Linked DNA regions of Cricetulus griseus. The protein of the gene in region 3 purifies or fractionates together with the protein of the main gene of each other region. This does not show direct contact. Links are inferred from orthologs where the notes say so. Each region holds a gene or a part of one and is shown on either strand. Other genes may lie near its edges.

Region 1 (4,336 bases), on a different chromosome or scaffold from region 3:
GCAGTGAGTATCCCAGGAGCCCCTTGGGTGGGGGGTTAGTTACTGGCCTATGCATAGCTCACTACTGTGTCCCTTTGCTTTCAGACACAGAACTCAGACTCTTCCTTTCACTTTCCTTACAGGTACTATGCAATTTATGACTCAGGAGACCGTCAGGGTCTCCTGGATGCCTACCATGATGGCGCCTGTTGCTCACTAAGCATTCCTTCCATCCCCCAGAACTCTGCCCGGTGAGTGTCACGTGTCAGAACCTACCCATAACCACAGGATTCATTGGGATACAGGCCACAGTTCTTATCACCACCATCTTCCCCTCCTATTTTCCAGAAGCAACTTAGCTGAATACTTCAAAGACAGCAGAAATGTGAAGAAGCTTAAAGATCCCAGTAAGTATGTCAGTCAAATGGAAATAGTCATTAGAGCTAGCCAGTGCAGGTGTGTCCTAACCTTGGGCTCTCTTCCTTCTGCTTGCAGCCCTGCGGTTCCGGCTGTTAAAGCATACACGTCTCAACGTTGTTGCCTTCCTCAACGAGTTACCCAAAACTCAACATGATATCAATTCCTTTGTGGTAGACATAAGTGCCCAAACAGTAAGCATATGTTCTCCTGACAGAAGCCCAGAACTGGGGTGGGTGATGGGTTCAGCACTCACTAGGTGAGGAGCTCAGGCTCTGGTGGGGAACCTCCATTGCTTATGCTGTTTCTCTTTCAGAGCACATTGCTATGTTTTTCTGTCAATGGAGTCTTCAAGGAAGGTAAGAATCTTGAGTCCTCCTAAACTTTCTCTGTATCCTTAGTTCCCCAGCTATCTTCTCATCCCTTTTCTTCTCTGACCTTCCTGTTTTATCCAGACTATCTTAACTCCTACCTGTCTTAGATGCAGTGTGACAAAAATGTGGGGACCAGAACAGAGTAGATGAAGAGTCAGTTAGCCAGGTCTCCTTTCCAGCCCTGGGTTTATTCTGTGGGTCTGGGAAAGTTACTGAACCTCAATTTTTTTTTGTTTTGTTTTGTTTTTTTAGATGAGACTTGTAATACTCTTGCACAGTGGTGCTTTAGGAAGTGAAGTGACTTCGATATTTTGCCAAGCCATGGGCTAAGCACTTTCTAATTTGCCTCCCCTACTTCCTACTAACTATCCTCCAGATCTGTCCCTTTATCCTAATTCTGTTCCCCTGTGTCCAAATAACCATCCTTACCTGGCCAAGTTAGGATTCTTTGTATCAAATGCTGAGATATGAGAAACTTTTATAAAGATTAAGCCTGAGTGACTCTAAGGGACCATTGCTTTTATTCTCATTGCAGTGGATGGGAAGTCTCGAGATTCTTTACGTGCGTTCACGAGAACGTTTGTTGCTGTTCCTGCCAGCAATTCAGGGTAAGTGCTCAGCTTACCCTGTGAGTCTCATTCTCAGACCAGCAGTGTGATAATTGGAAAGAATTCTTCCCCAGGGAGTTACCAGAATTGTAGAAAAGCAATAGGAAGTTCATGAAGCCTGAGAACAACTATCAGTAGGTTGAGGACTGAATATATAATAATTCTAGTGTGTTTGGGAGATAATCCTCCTAAACACCTAGTCTGAAGTCAAGAATAAATGATAAGGGCTGAAGAGATGGCTCAGAGGTTAAGAGCACTGACTGCTCTTCCAGAGGTCCTGAGTTCAATTCCCAGCAACCACATGGTGGCTCACAACCATTGGTTATGAGATCTGGTGCCCTCTTCTGGTGTGCAGATAATACATGGAAGCAGAATGTTGTATACATAATAAATAAAATCTTTAAAAAATAAAATTAAAAAAAAACAATAAATGATAAAAGGTAACATGGGATGGGCATATGGATATTAACCAGATCTAAGAACAGACAGATCTAAGAACAGAGACAGTGTAGAAGGGTGAGGTTATTTGTTCATTTATTTAGTGTGTTCTCTGCCCCCAAGGCTATGTATTGTAAATGATGAATTATTTGTGCGGAATGCCAGCCCTGAAGAAATCCAAAGAGCCTTCGCCATGCCTGCACCCACACCTTCCTCCAGCCCAGTGCCCACGCTCTCCCCAGAACAACAGGAAATGTTGCAAGCATTCTCTACCCAGTCTGGCATGAACCTCGAGTGGTCTCAGAAGTGAGTCTTGAGCATGGATAGGGCCAAGAGGGAACAAATGGCCTGACAGTGAATAACAGTGCTTTAAAAAAAAAAAAAAAAAAAAAAAAAAAAAAGATTCTTAGACCTGCCTCCAAAGCCAAAGAGAAACCCTGTCTCAAAAAACCAAAAAAAAAAAAAAAAAAAAAAAAAATTCCTACTAAGACTTCTGCATAAATAATTTATATAAAGTTCCAAAGCACAAATGAAGAGTGACTTGTTGCCCTCCCACCTACCTATTGCTCCCTTCTCCCCCGGCAGAATGAGGAATTGAACCTAGCTAGACATCATATATGCAAGGCAGACACTACCACTGAGCTAATTCCCCTGGCCCTCTTTTTGTTGTTTTGAGATGGGGTCACACTATGTACTTGTCTGGCCTTGAACTCTCTATCTGCCTCCAGAATGGTGTGATTAAAGGAATGAGCCATTGCCCCTGGCTACCCAGTCATCTTCTTAGTTGTCATTCATTTTGAGACATGTTCTCAATAAGATACCAGCTCTTTACCAAGTCCTGTGAGCCTCATCATTCAAAGGGAGCTGGGAATATTAGGTGCATACAGTGTTCCAGAGCCCTTTTATGTATAGTTCTGCAACATAGTTTTCCTTTGAGACAGGGTTTCATTCACTGTGTCCTTGGCTGCTTGTAAGTCACTATATAGCTCAGGTTTGCTCAAATTTAGTGACTTTTACCTCCTTCAGCCTCCTGAGTGGTGGGATTAAAGGCCTCACCATCTTGCTACCAGCAACTTGGTTTTTAAGCCATGAAAATCCTTCCCTTCTAGTGTAAAAGTACTTTGGTCATTTTTGTTAGACATTTTGACACTTTAATGTTTCATTTGTATAAGTGGTGCAACAATGTATAAATGTAATTACTAGGAAACTTTGATGACTTTCTCCTTGATGGAATCTGGAGTGGCTTTTCTTTTTTTTGAGAGATGAGAGTGACTGCATTTTGGTTCTCACGTGGCTTCTTCCTGTTTTACTCCCACTCCAGGTGCCTTCAAGACAACAACTGGGACTATACCAGATCTGCTCAGGCCTTCACTCATCTCAAGGTAGAGCATGGAAATTGTGTGGCTGTAAACTGGGAGCTCTGAGCTTTGGAAAGGGTCACATGAAGGCTGGGTGTGGTGGTGCACACCTTTAATCCCAGCAGTTGGGAGGCAGAGGCAGCCAGATTGAATTTAAAGCCAGCCTGGTCTATACAGAGTTCCAGGTCCCGTGGTCTGGCAGGGCAGGTGGGAAAGGAGTCCTCTGGCTCTATTCACCTTTTCTCTTTCTTTCTGCAGGCCAAGGGAGAGATTCCAGAAGTAGCGTTTATGAAATGATCACAGGAAAAGCCCCCTTGTAAATAGCCCGTGGATAATATTGTCTGGCTGTCATCTGCCATCTCCTGTCCCGCCCGAGGCCAGCCTGTAACTGTGACTGAGGAGGGAGGGCTGCCTCATCTTCCTCACCTACCTTCTGGAAGACTTACAGAAGACTTCTGGAAGATTGAGCCTCGTGGTGCCAGGAAGCCAAAGCTTACTTTGTAGAGCTGACACTAAACTACCCGAAGGACTTAGGTGCTCTGTGTACTTAACCCCTGATTCCCTTTACTTTTTAAGATAAAGAGTGATATTGTAGTTTGTGTCTCATTACTGGCTTGTTTCCCTCAATGCAGAAGGGGTGGGAGAGTGCGTCATGACAGGAAGTCCCGCCCCAGAGACGGAAGTGCCCCGCCATGGCGGCACGTTGCCGGCAGTGGGTCAGCGGGTTGTTGTCCGTGCTACGTTCCCCTCCTGTATGCCGGCATTTGCAAAGTGGGGTACCACGGGATGTGCTGCTCTTCCAGCATGAACGGGGCCGCTTCTTTGCCATCCTTGGACTGTTTTGCGCTGGTCAGGGCATCTTCTGGACCTCCCTGGCTGTTGCAGCATTGTCCCGACCTCTGATCCGGGTTCCTGCAGAGGCTCCCAACCGGGGCTACACGGACCTGCGCTCTGCACTCTGGCGCTACGGGCTAGCTATTGGTTGCGGCACGATGGGTAAGGGCATGGGTTCCGGGTTGCCCTAGGGCTGTGAGCACAAAACTCACTCAATGAAGAAGGGTTCCCAATCCTCCCAGATGAGCAGAAATGTAAGTGGGATTCCCGGTATGGGTGTAATGTATCTTGAGTACCTGAACGCTTTGCTCCCCAACTCCCCACCCTG
Region 2 (3,571 bases), on a different chromosome or scaffold from region 3:
CAGCTCAGTCGTGCGGTCTACGGCGGCCTGGAGGTGCTTGATCTGGTCTCGGATGATGGCGATCAGGTTGTAGATGTTCATTGGTTCCCTGCGGGGGTCACTCAATGGTGATGGCAGTGAAGAGCTGGGAGAGGGGCTGCTGTCCCCAGTCCCACCATCTGCTCGCCCTACCTCTGTGGCCAACAGCCCCTTGGACAAAAGGACAGGTGAACGGCGCCCTCGGCCCTCAGGGCTGGTGCGGCCAGCCTTGCCCTGGCCCTCACGGTAATAATCCAGCATGACACGGTTGGGCGTCTCATTGTTGCACATACACACATGGTGGTAGAGGTTGGCCAGCTCCTCACTGAAGGTCACCAGCTCATCCTGAGCTACATTCAGGCTGCCCTGGGTCTCACCGGCCACATCGCTCACTTTCTTCAGCTCCTTCTCCAGCTGGGCCAACAGCTCTCGGTCCTGGTGGCTAGCCTTCTCTAGCAGAGAGACCTTCTCTGTAAGGGCCTGGCCCTCAGCCTCATAGCGGCCTTTCTCTTCTGCGTGCTGGGCCTCACAAGCTTCGTGTGTGCTGCGCAATGCCTTGAGCTGCTCCCGGAGTTCACCAGCCTCAGCCACAGCCACGTGGTACTTGCAGGCCATGATCTCAGGCCCATTGATGTCTACCTCATAGTAGTCACCATCTTCGTGGCTATCACGGTCCTTCTCGTTATCCAGGGAAGTCTGCTGTTCCTTGCCAGCCTGCAGGCGACGCAGAGCGCTAAGGTTGTCTGTGAGGCGGCTCACCTTCTCCTGTTGCTCAGAAAGGGACCCCCGAGCCTGCTCCAGCTGCTTCTGTGTGTCCTGCAGTGTGGCCAGTAGGCCCATCTTCTCCCGCTCCATCTGCAAAGGGAGATACAGCAGGAAAGATAGTCAGTAAGCTTAAAGGACTACAGGTGGCCCAGCAACATCTCGGGCTATGCCAGATGGGCCATGGGCTATGCAAAATCCCTGGTCATGCCACTAGTGACAGCGGACTGGACAGAATTCACCAACTAAAGTCGTCACCCATAAAGGTTCACTCTACATGTGTTGGAGCAAAGCTGGGCTTCACACATAGAACTCCAGAGCAAATTGGCAGGTTCCCTAAGTGTCCCAGCTTTCTACCACTTTCCTTCTCCTGTTGTGGAGGACACTCATTTCCTAGGTCAACGCTAAACTTTGGGATGTGCTGATGTATGGCCCTGCTGAGACTCTAGCTGGACTATGGTTGGAGTTTACACAAGGGGCCATGACACCTCACCCTGACATGATATGGGTAGCAAAGGGAGAAGCAACATAGACACCTAGGACTAAACTTTACACAATAATCTGGAAGCTACTTCCCTGGGACACTACTCTTCACTAACAGAGTTTCATTTGGGGTAAAGATACGGGATCTAAAACCAGTACAAGTAAATGAAAGGCAGCTGCCACATGTCACAACAGCACTGCTTCCATAGGACATGCAGGCCTGCCAGCACTGCAAAAGGCAGTGGGGACAGGGAAGGACGGAGCACCAGGCCCTGCCTATTCACCTGCACCAGCTGCTGCTTCAGCTTCTGGATCTCAGATATGTGGAGCTCACTGAGCAGGTCGGAAACAAGGCTCGGGGAGGGTGGAGCCAGGCCATCCTTCCTGGGTGTGGACGTCTTGTTGTCCAGTGAGGATTTGAGCAAGCCACTATGCTCAAAGCCGTTGGCCAGGGCTTCAGCGTCATTGTTGGGCTCAGCAGTGACGGCATCATCACTGAACTTGAGGCCGTCTAAGGAGACCTGCAGGTGGCTGGTGTAGAAGGAGTCGTTGATGGCCATGTAGTGGGACAGCTCCTTGCGGAGGTTGTTCTTCTGCTCCCGCTCTGTCTTCAGTGTCTCTAGCGCCTCCTCCAACTGCCGTTCAGAGATCTCCTTAAGCCGGATGGCATCTTCCAGCTGGCTGTTGAGGTACTCGGTCTCCTCCTCCAGGCGCTTGATTTCATGCTTGAGGCCCTCAAATTCCACCTGGGGAATAACACAGAGACTTCCGTGTCAAGGCCATGTGGAGGCTACACTCTGGACAATGCCAGAGCACTACCTCCCCGACCACAAAGAACAAGGAGACCCACAGAATGAAATGCCACCCTCTAGGAGAGGGCAGTGGCTACAAAGGCCACTTTCTACATCAAGCAACACAGATGCTCAGAGGGTACTTCTGGAGCATTGGGAGTAAAAGAAACATTCAACCCACTGCCAGGATCAATGTGCCTGCGAAGCACACGGAACCTGCAATGCCATGGATGAGGATTAACATGGAGGCTGCCAAATTCCTGCTATATTTCTGAAAATTAGTACCAGTGTGCATTGACTTAAAATTCCATAAAATTACTCATTTAACATTAACAGCTAACCAAATCTCTCTTTTAAATGTATGTTCATGATTATGGGGGGGGGCAGGGAATGCACAGGCCACTGTACAAAGTGGAGATTCTCTCCTTCCACCTCTATGTGAGCTCTGGGAACCGGGCTTGAGTCACGAGGCTCGCAGGGTAAACAGCTCTATCCACTGAGCCCTAACTAGGTTATTTTTTTTTTTTTTAAATTGACTTATTTTGTATGCAGTGTTCTGTCTGCATGTATCCCTGCAGTCCAGAAGAGATATCATTACAGATGGCTATGAGCCAAAATGTGGTTGCTGGGAATTGAACTCAGGACCTCTGTAAGAGCAGCTAGTGCTCTTAACTGCTGAGCCGTCTCTCCAGCCAACCAGGTTATTTTAAGGCACATAAAATAGATGCTTTGTTGTGTGCTATGGCCATTATTTTGAATCATATTTCTAAACAAAGGAACTGGACTTCCCATCAAGGCTGAATGCAAGTATGGAGGAGCTGGAGGGCCAGAGGGAAAGCATAACTGGTGCTCTAAACAAGACACAATTTGAGAGTGGACAAAAAAAGAGTAAATGGCAGTTGATGCTTACTGTGAGGCTCCGGTATATAAAAACATCTCACTGTAATGTTAAGTACTGAACGAATCTCTCTGGGTTTGGGGTAGGAAGGGAAACCCGATACAGCACTCTAAGTGTTCCCACATCCCAGTACCCCAAGTGAGGGTGAGGAACCTCAGAGAGGTGTGGCTCCACGGAATGCAAGGTCTCCTTGAGCTCTGGCTTTTCTCCTCAGGGCACTGTGGGCAGTAGCACCAACCAATGCCCAATGGAACCTCATGCTTATGTACTACAGGATGGAGCGGTGAGCCCTGCTCCTAGGGTTGCCCAGCACCAGAATCCATCCCCTGCCTGCTTTTGCAAACACAAAAGCTTCTTTCTACACAGGCACACAGGCTTCCTCCTGCAGGATATAAAACCTGGGTGCACTGACGGTGAGGCCTTAGCTGTAAGATGATCTGGGTTCTAACAAAAAAAAAGCAAGACAGCATCCATGGTATTTGGGGGTAAGGCCTGGCTGGGATTTCCTGAGAGAAAAGGCTCCCTGTAGGCTATAGCTCCTAGAGAATGGGAAGCATGTCCAGGCACTGAGTGGTTCTCACCCTCACCCATCCAGGAGGACTTCCTAATCTTTGCCACA
Region 3 (4,151 bases):
TGTGGTCCACCACTGCCCGGCAAAACTATTAGTTTAAAAAAGATTTTAATGTTTGTGTGTATCTCAGCACGTGTGTGCTCGGGTGCTACAGAGGTGAAAGATTTAGACCCTCGGAACTGGTTAGGGGTGGTTGTCGGCAACCAGATATGGGTGCTGGGAACTGAACTTGGGTCCTTCGGAGTAGCCAATATAACTTATAATTTATTACCGCTAATTGTTAAGTCACAAAACAGGACCCCAAACGGCAGTGCTGTTAACAATGTCGTAGATGGCCGGCCGCCCCGATTCTCACCCGGGGAAACAGAAACATTTTAGAATTTTTTTTAAAGATTTATTTATTTATAAATAAATGTATACAGTGTTCTGCCTGCATGTATGTCTGCGGGTCAGAGAGGGCACCAGACCTCATCACAGATGGTTGTGAGCCACCATGTGGTTGCTAAGAATTGAACTCAGTACCTGCGGAAGAACAGGCTGTGCTCTGATCCTCTGAGCCATCTCTCTCCAGCCCCAGAAACATTTTAAATTCAGCATTCCTCAGAAATCTAAGGATCCTGGTTTGTGTTCGTCAGGAAAGCCATCACTTCCCTTTTTTGCCCCTAACGGTCTATTACGCCGGGAAAAGTGCATCTCACCATGTAACGCCAATATTTCAACCATGTTTGGTTTATCCAAACATAAAGTCTTGGCCCAGTATTAACTATTATTCTGTTGAAACGAAAAGACAATGATGAAGTTCGTCTCTTTAAAAGGAAATCAACTTTTAAAATTTGACTAGATGGAGCGTCAAAAAGGTCGGACTCTCAGGGCGCTGTCATTTTGGGTCCTCTTTGTGATGTACCACTAATGAAATATATAAAGAGTTTTTTACACCCCCCCTCCCGGGGGGAAGAGTTATTCACATTCGTTTGAAAAGGGGGGAATATATATATATATAGAGAGAGAGACAGACAGAGAGAGAGAGAGAGAGAGAGAGAGAGAGAGAGAGAGAGAGAGAGAGAGAGAGAGAGAGAGAGAGAGAGAGAGAGAGAGAGGAGAGAGAGAGAGAGAGAGAGAGAGAGAGAGAGAGAGAGAGAGAGAGAGAGAGAGAGAGAGAGAGAGAGAGAGAGAGAGAGAGAGAGAGAGAGAGAGAGAGAGAGAGAGAGAGAGAGAGAGAGAGAGGAGAGAGAGAGAGAGAGGAGAGAGAGGAGAGAGAGAGAAAACGGTAACGTGGTCTGAAGGCGGGAGGCGACAAACAGGCGCGTCAGACCGCAGCGTGGCGCACGGTGATGACGCGAGTCGCACGCGCCGCCCCCATCCGTTCGCGACGGAGCTGCGTCACCGGTGTTCGGTGCTCACCTCCTGGAGACAGCGGCGGCTGTAGGCCCCAGGGCTGGCCTCCCGCTCTCGGGGAGCCTGGTCGGCGGCGCGATGAGGCGCAGCAAGGCCGAGGTGGAGCGGTACATCGCCTCGGTGCAGGGCTCCGCCCCGTCGCCGCGAGAGGTGAGCAGGTCCGGCCCAGCCGGCCGGCCAGCCGGCGTCATGGCTCCCGGCGGCCTCGGCTCCGGCTGGAGCGGAGGCGGCCGCGGGCGGCGTGGCGTGGCGCTGCTGAGCACCGGAGGCGCGGGCACTGCGGCCGCCCGCGTTTCCTCTTCATGGCGGGCCGCGGGCTCACTCGGGCCTCGTTGCCTCGGTCTCGGCGGGGCAGGCCGGCTTGGGGCGCTCTTCGGGGCTCGCCTGGCAGCGGCAGGCGCCTTCGGCCCCCGGGATAGACAGATCCGGCGACGCAGGCCGTGTCTGCCCGGGAGGTTGACGCCGCCCGGCGGGGGGCTTTTACCGTTGTGCGGGTGGCTCCGTGGACATGGAGCGGACGAACAGCCGCATTCGCAGGGCGCGTCGCACGGGAGGCCCTTAATTGGAGTCTTCCGTTGCTGTGCCCCGCTCCTTACATCGCCTTTCCCAAAATCTCCTTTGGAAGCTATCTTGGCTTTTTAAAAAGTTCTTTTACTTAAAGGTAGAAGGTCAGAAATTTTAAATTCTTTACAGGCAGTAGTTGCTGTGCCTTAACGTTGCTAACGTTTTCCCGTAACATGTTCCGTGGCTGTTTTTCTAATTTTGAAATCATTCATGTGTTTATGATTATTTTATATTCTTCAAGAGGGTTCGCCGGTGGAGATGTTCAGAGGCTCTAGAGTCAGTTTTTCTGGGGTTGAAGAGTCGGGTTTTGCCATTTCTAAACTGTAATTTGATATAGTATAGACTTTTCATCAATAAAAACACAGTTTTGATTCATGTTAAACATTTAGGGCAACCTTGAAATACAGCGAGCTTCAGTTTATCTATTGCAAACACACAGTTCAGTTTGTCTTTTTTTTAATTCTGAAAAATAGTTGTCTCTAAGGGTTTTATGATCGTCCATTTATACAAAAATGCACGGATGCACAAGTCCCTTATGCAAACAGCATAGTTTTCTGTTACCTTTAATCTTTTCTTAGGTAGTTTGAAAGAGTTAGATAATCCAGTCCAATAAAAATAACCCCTCAAAACTAGAATCCAAAGTGATCTTAAGAAATTTCATGTTTAATGCTGGGCAGTGGTGGCACACGCCTTTAGTCCCAACACTTGGGAGGCACAGACTAGCCTGGTCTACAGAGTGAGTTCTAGGACATCAGGGCTGTTACACAGAGAAAACCCTGTCTTGGAAAACAAAACAAAATTCAACTTCATTTAATGCTGTATGCCACAGGGGAAATTTTACAGCCAGTTTCCTCTGATGTGTCAAAATCAAAGTTCCAGGGCACAAAACATTATCAAATGAAAATACCTTCAGGTTTCTGTGTATAAAGTCTACATTAAACAAATGTATTTATATTGACTTGGGTCTTGTCACCAGGATATCTCATATGCTTGAAAATACTTAAAAACCTGAAGGAAAAAAGCAAAACCCAGAGACGCTGAAATCTATTAATGCCAAGCATTTCAAATAAGGCATACTCAAATAATAGTACCTAATACTATAAAAATAGTTGTTAAATTTTGTTAGGAACAGTGACAAGCAAATAATTTGTATGTATTCAGTTTTGCTTTTTCTGTTTCTGACTGGCCTTGAAGTCACAGAGCCTTTGCCTCCCAATTGCTTGTGTGCACCATTGAAGGTGTGCACCATGCCCAGCTACCAACATATTTTTTAAAAATACTTTTTGATGTAAGATTGGTTGGGTTGGATAGTGACCAACTTGGAGAGCAACAACCATAAGAAAGTTTGTCATAACTATTTTCATTCATTGTTCACTTTTGTGGCATTAACACAGTGTGTTGTTTAACCAAAACCCTTTGTAGTTAAAAAAAAAAAAAAGTTATGCCAAACAAGTTCTGTAACCACTAAGAAATAATGCCACAGGCCCTTCTTTCCTGTGCTCCTGGTGACCTGTATTTTATGTTTTGTATTTTATGAATTTGGTTATTGATATTTCATGTTTGTAGGATATTATATTTTGTTCTTTTGTGTCTAGATCATTTCACTTGGTGTATTTTCAAGATCATTCATGTTGTGGCAGGTGTTAAGAGTCATCTTTTTTTTTTTTTTTTTTTTTTGGTTTTTCGGGATAGGGTTTCTCTGTGGCTTTGGAGGCTGTCCTGGAACTAGCTCTTATAGACCAGGCTGGTCTCGAACTCACAGAGATCTGCCTGCCTCTGCCTCCCGAGTGCTGGGATTAAAGGTGTGCGCCACCAACGCCAGGCGAGTCATCCATTTTTAATGGCTGAATAATAATATATATATATATATATACTTAGGTATGCCACATTTTGCTTATTCATTTACTGCTGATTGACATTTAGGTTGTTTGTATCTTTTGCCCAATACATACAATGTAGCAAACAATGATGTAAAAATATTTTAGTGTCTGCTTTTAATTCCCTTGAGTTTACAACAGGTTTTCTGAGGAGCCCTCAAACTCCTTTCTATAGTGACTGTACTTTCTTATGTTCCTGCTGTCAATTTATAGGTTTTCAATTTCTTTATTTTTTTTACCAATGTTTCAAATTCAAATTTATTATCTTATTTCATTTTACTGAGAGAGAGAGAGAGAGAGAGAGAGAGAGAGAGAGAGAGAGAGAGAATAAGCGCTCTTGTGGGAGTCAAAGGAAAGTTTGCTAGAGTTGGTTCTCTT

The links.
Region 1: the proteins of Ranbp2 (region 3) and Nxf1 purify together in Homo sapiens (co-immunoprecipitation; 5 studies listed by BioGRID and IntAct, with this or other methods). This does not show direct contact. The link is inferred for Cricetulus griseus from reciprocal best matches to the Homo sapiens genes RANBP2 and NXF1.
Region 2: the proteins of Ranbp2 (region 3) and Bicd2 purify together in Homo sapiens (affinity purification with western blotting; 3 studies listed by BioGRID and IntAct, with this or other methods). This does not show direct contact. The link is inferred for Cricetulus griseus from reciprocal best matches to the Homo sapiens genes RANBP2 and BICD2.

What each region holds. Positions count from the first base shown.
Region 1 is NC_048596.1:51,324,751-51,329,086, reverse strand, and holds the end of Nxf1 (nuclear RNA export factor 1), read left to right. Parts: coding exon 1-3; intron 4-122; coding exon 123-230; intron 231-327; coding exon 328-386; intron 387-474; coding exon 475-590; intron 591-712; coding exon 713-755; intron 756-1,305; coding exon 1,306-1,378; intron 1,379-1,939; coding exon 1,940-2,122; intron 2,123-3,137; coding exon 3,138-3,198; intron 3,199-3,432; coding exon 3,433-3,471; 3' UTR 3,472-3,768; downstream 3,769-4,336. Other genes in the region: Tmem223 (transmembrane protein 223), read left to right, coding at 3,867-4,170.
Region 2 is NC_048596.1:269,183,242-269,186,812, reverse strand, and holds part of Bicd2 (protein bicaudal D homolog 2), read right to left. Parts: intron 2,010-3,571; coding exon 1,548-2,009; intron 874-1,547; coding exon 1-873. UniProt on the Homo sapiens protein: Acts as an adapter protein linking the dynein motor complex to various cargos and converts dynein from a non-processive to a highly processive motor in the presence of dynactin.
Region 3 is NW_023276807.1:2,653,889-2,658,039, reverse strand, and holds the start of Ranbp2 (E3 SUMO-protein ligase RanBP2), read left to right. Parts: upstream 1-1,297; 5' UTR 1,298-1,410; coding exon 1,411-1,482; intron 1,483-4,151. UniProt on the Homo sapiens protein: E3 SUMO-protein ligase which facilitates SUMO1 and SUMO2 conjugation by UBE2I. Involved in transport factor (Ran-GTP, karyopherin)-mediated protein import via the F-G repeat-containing domain which acts as a docking site for substrates.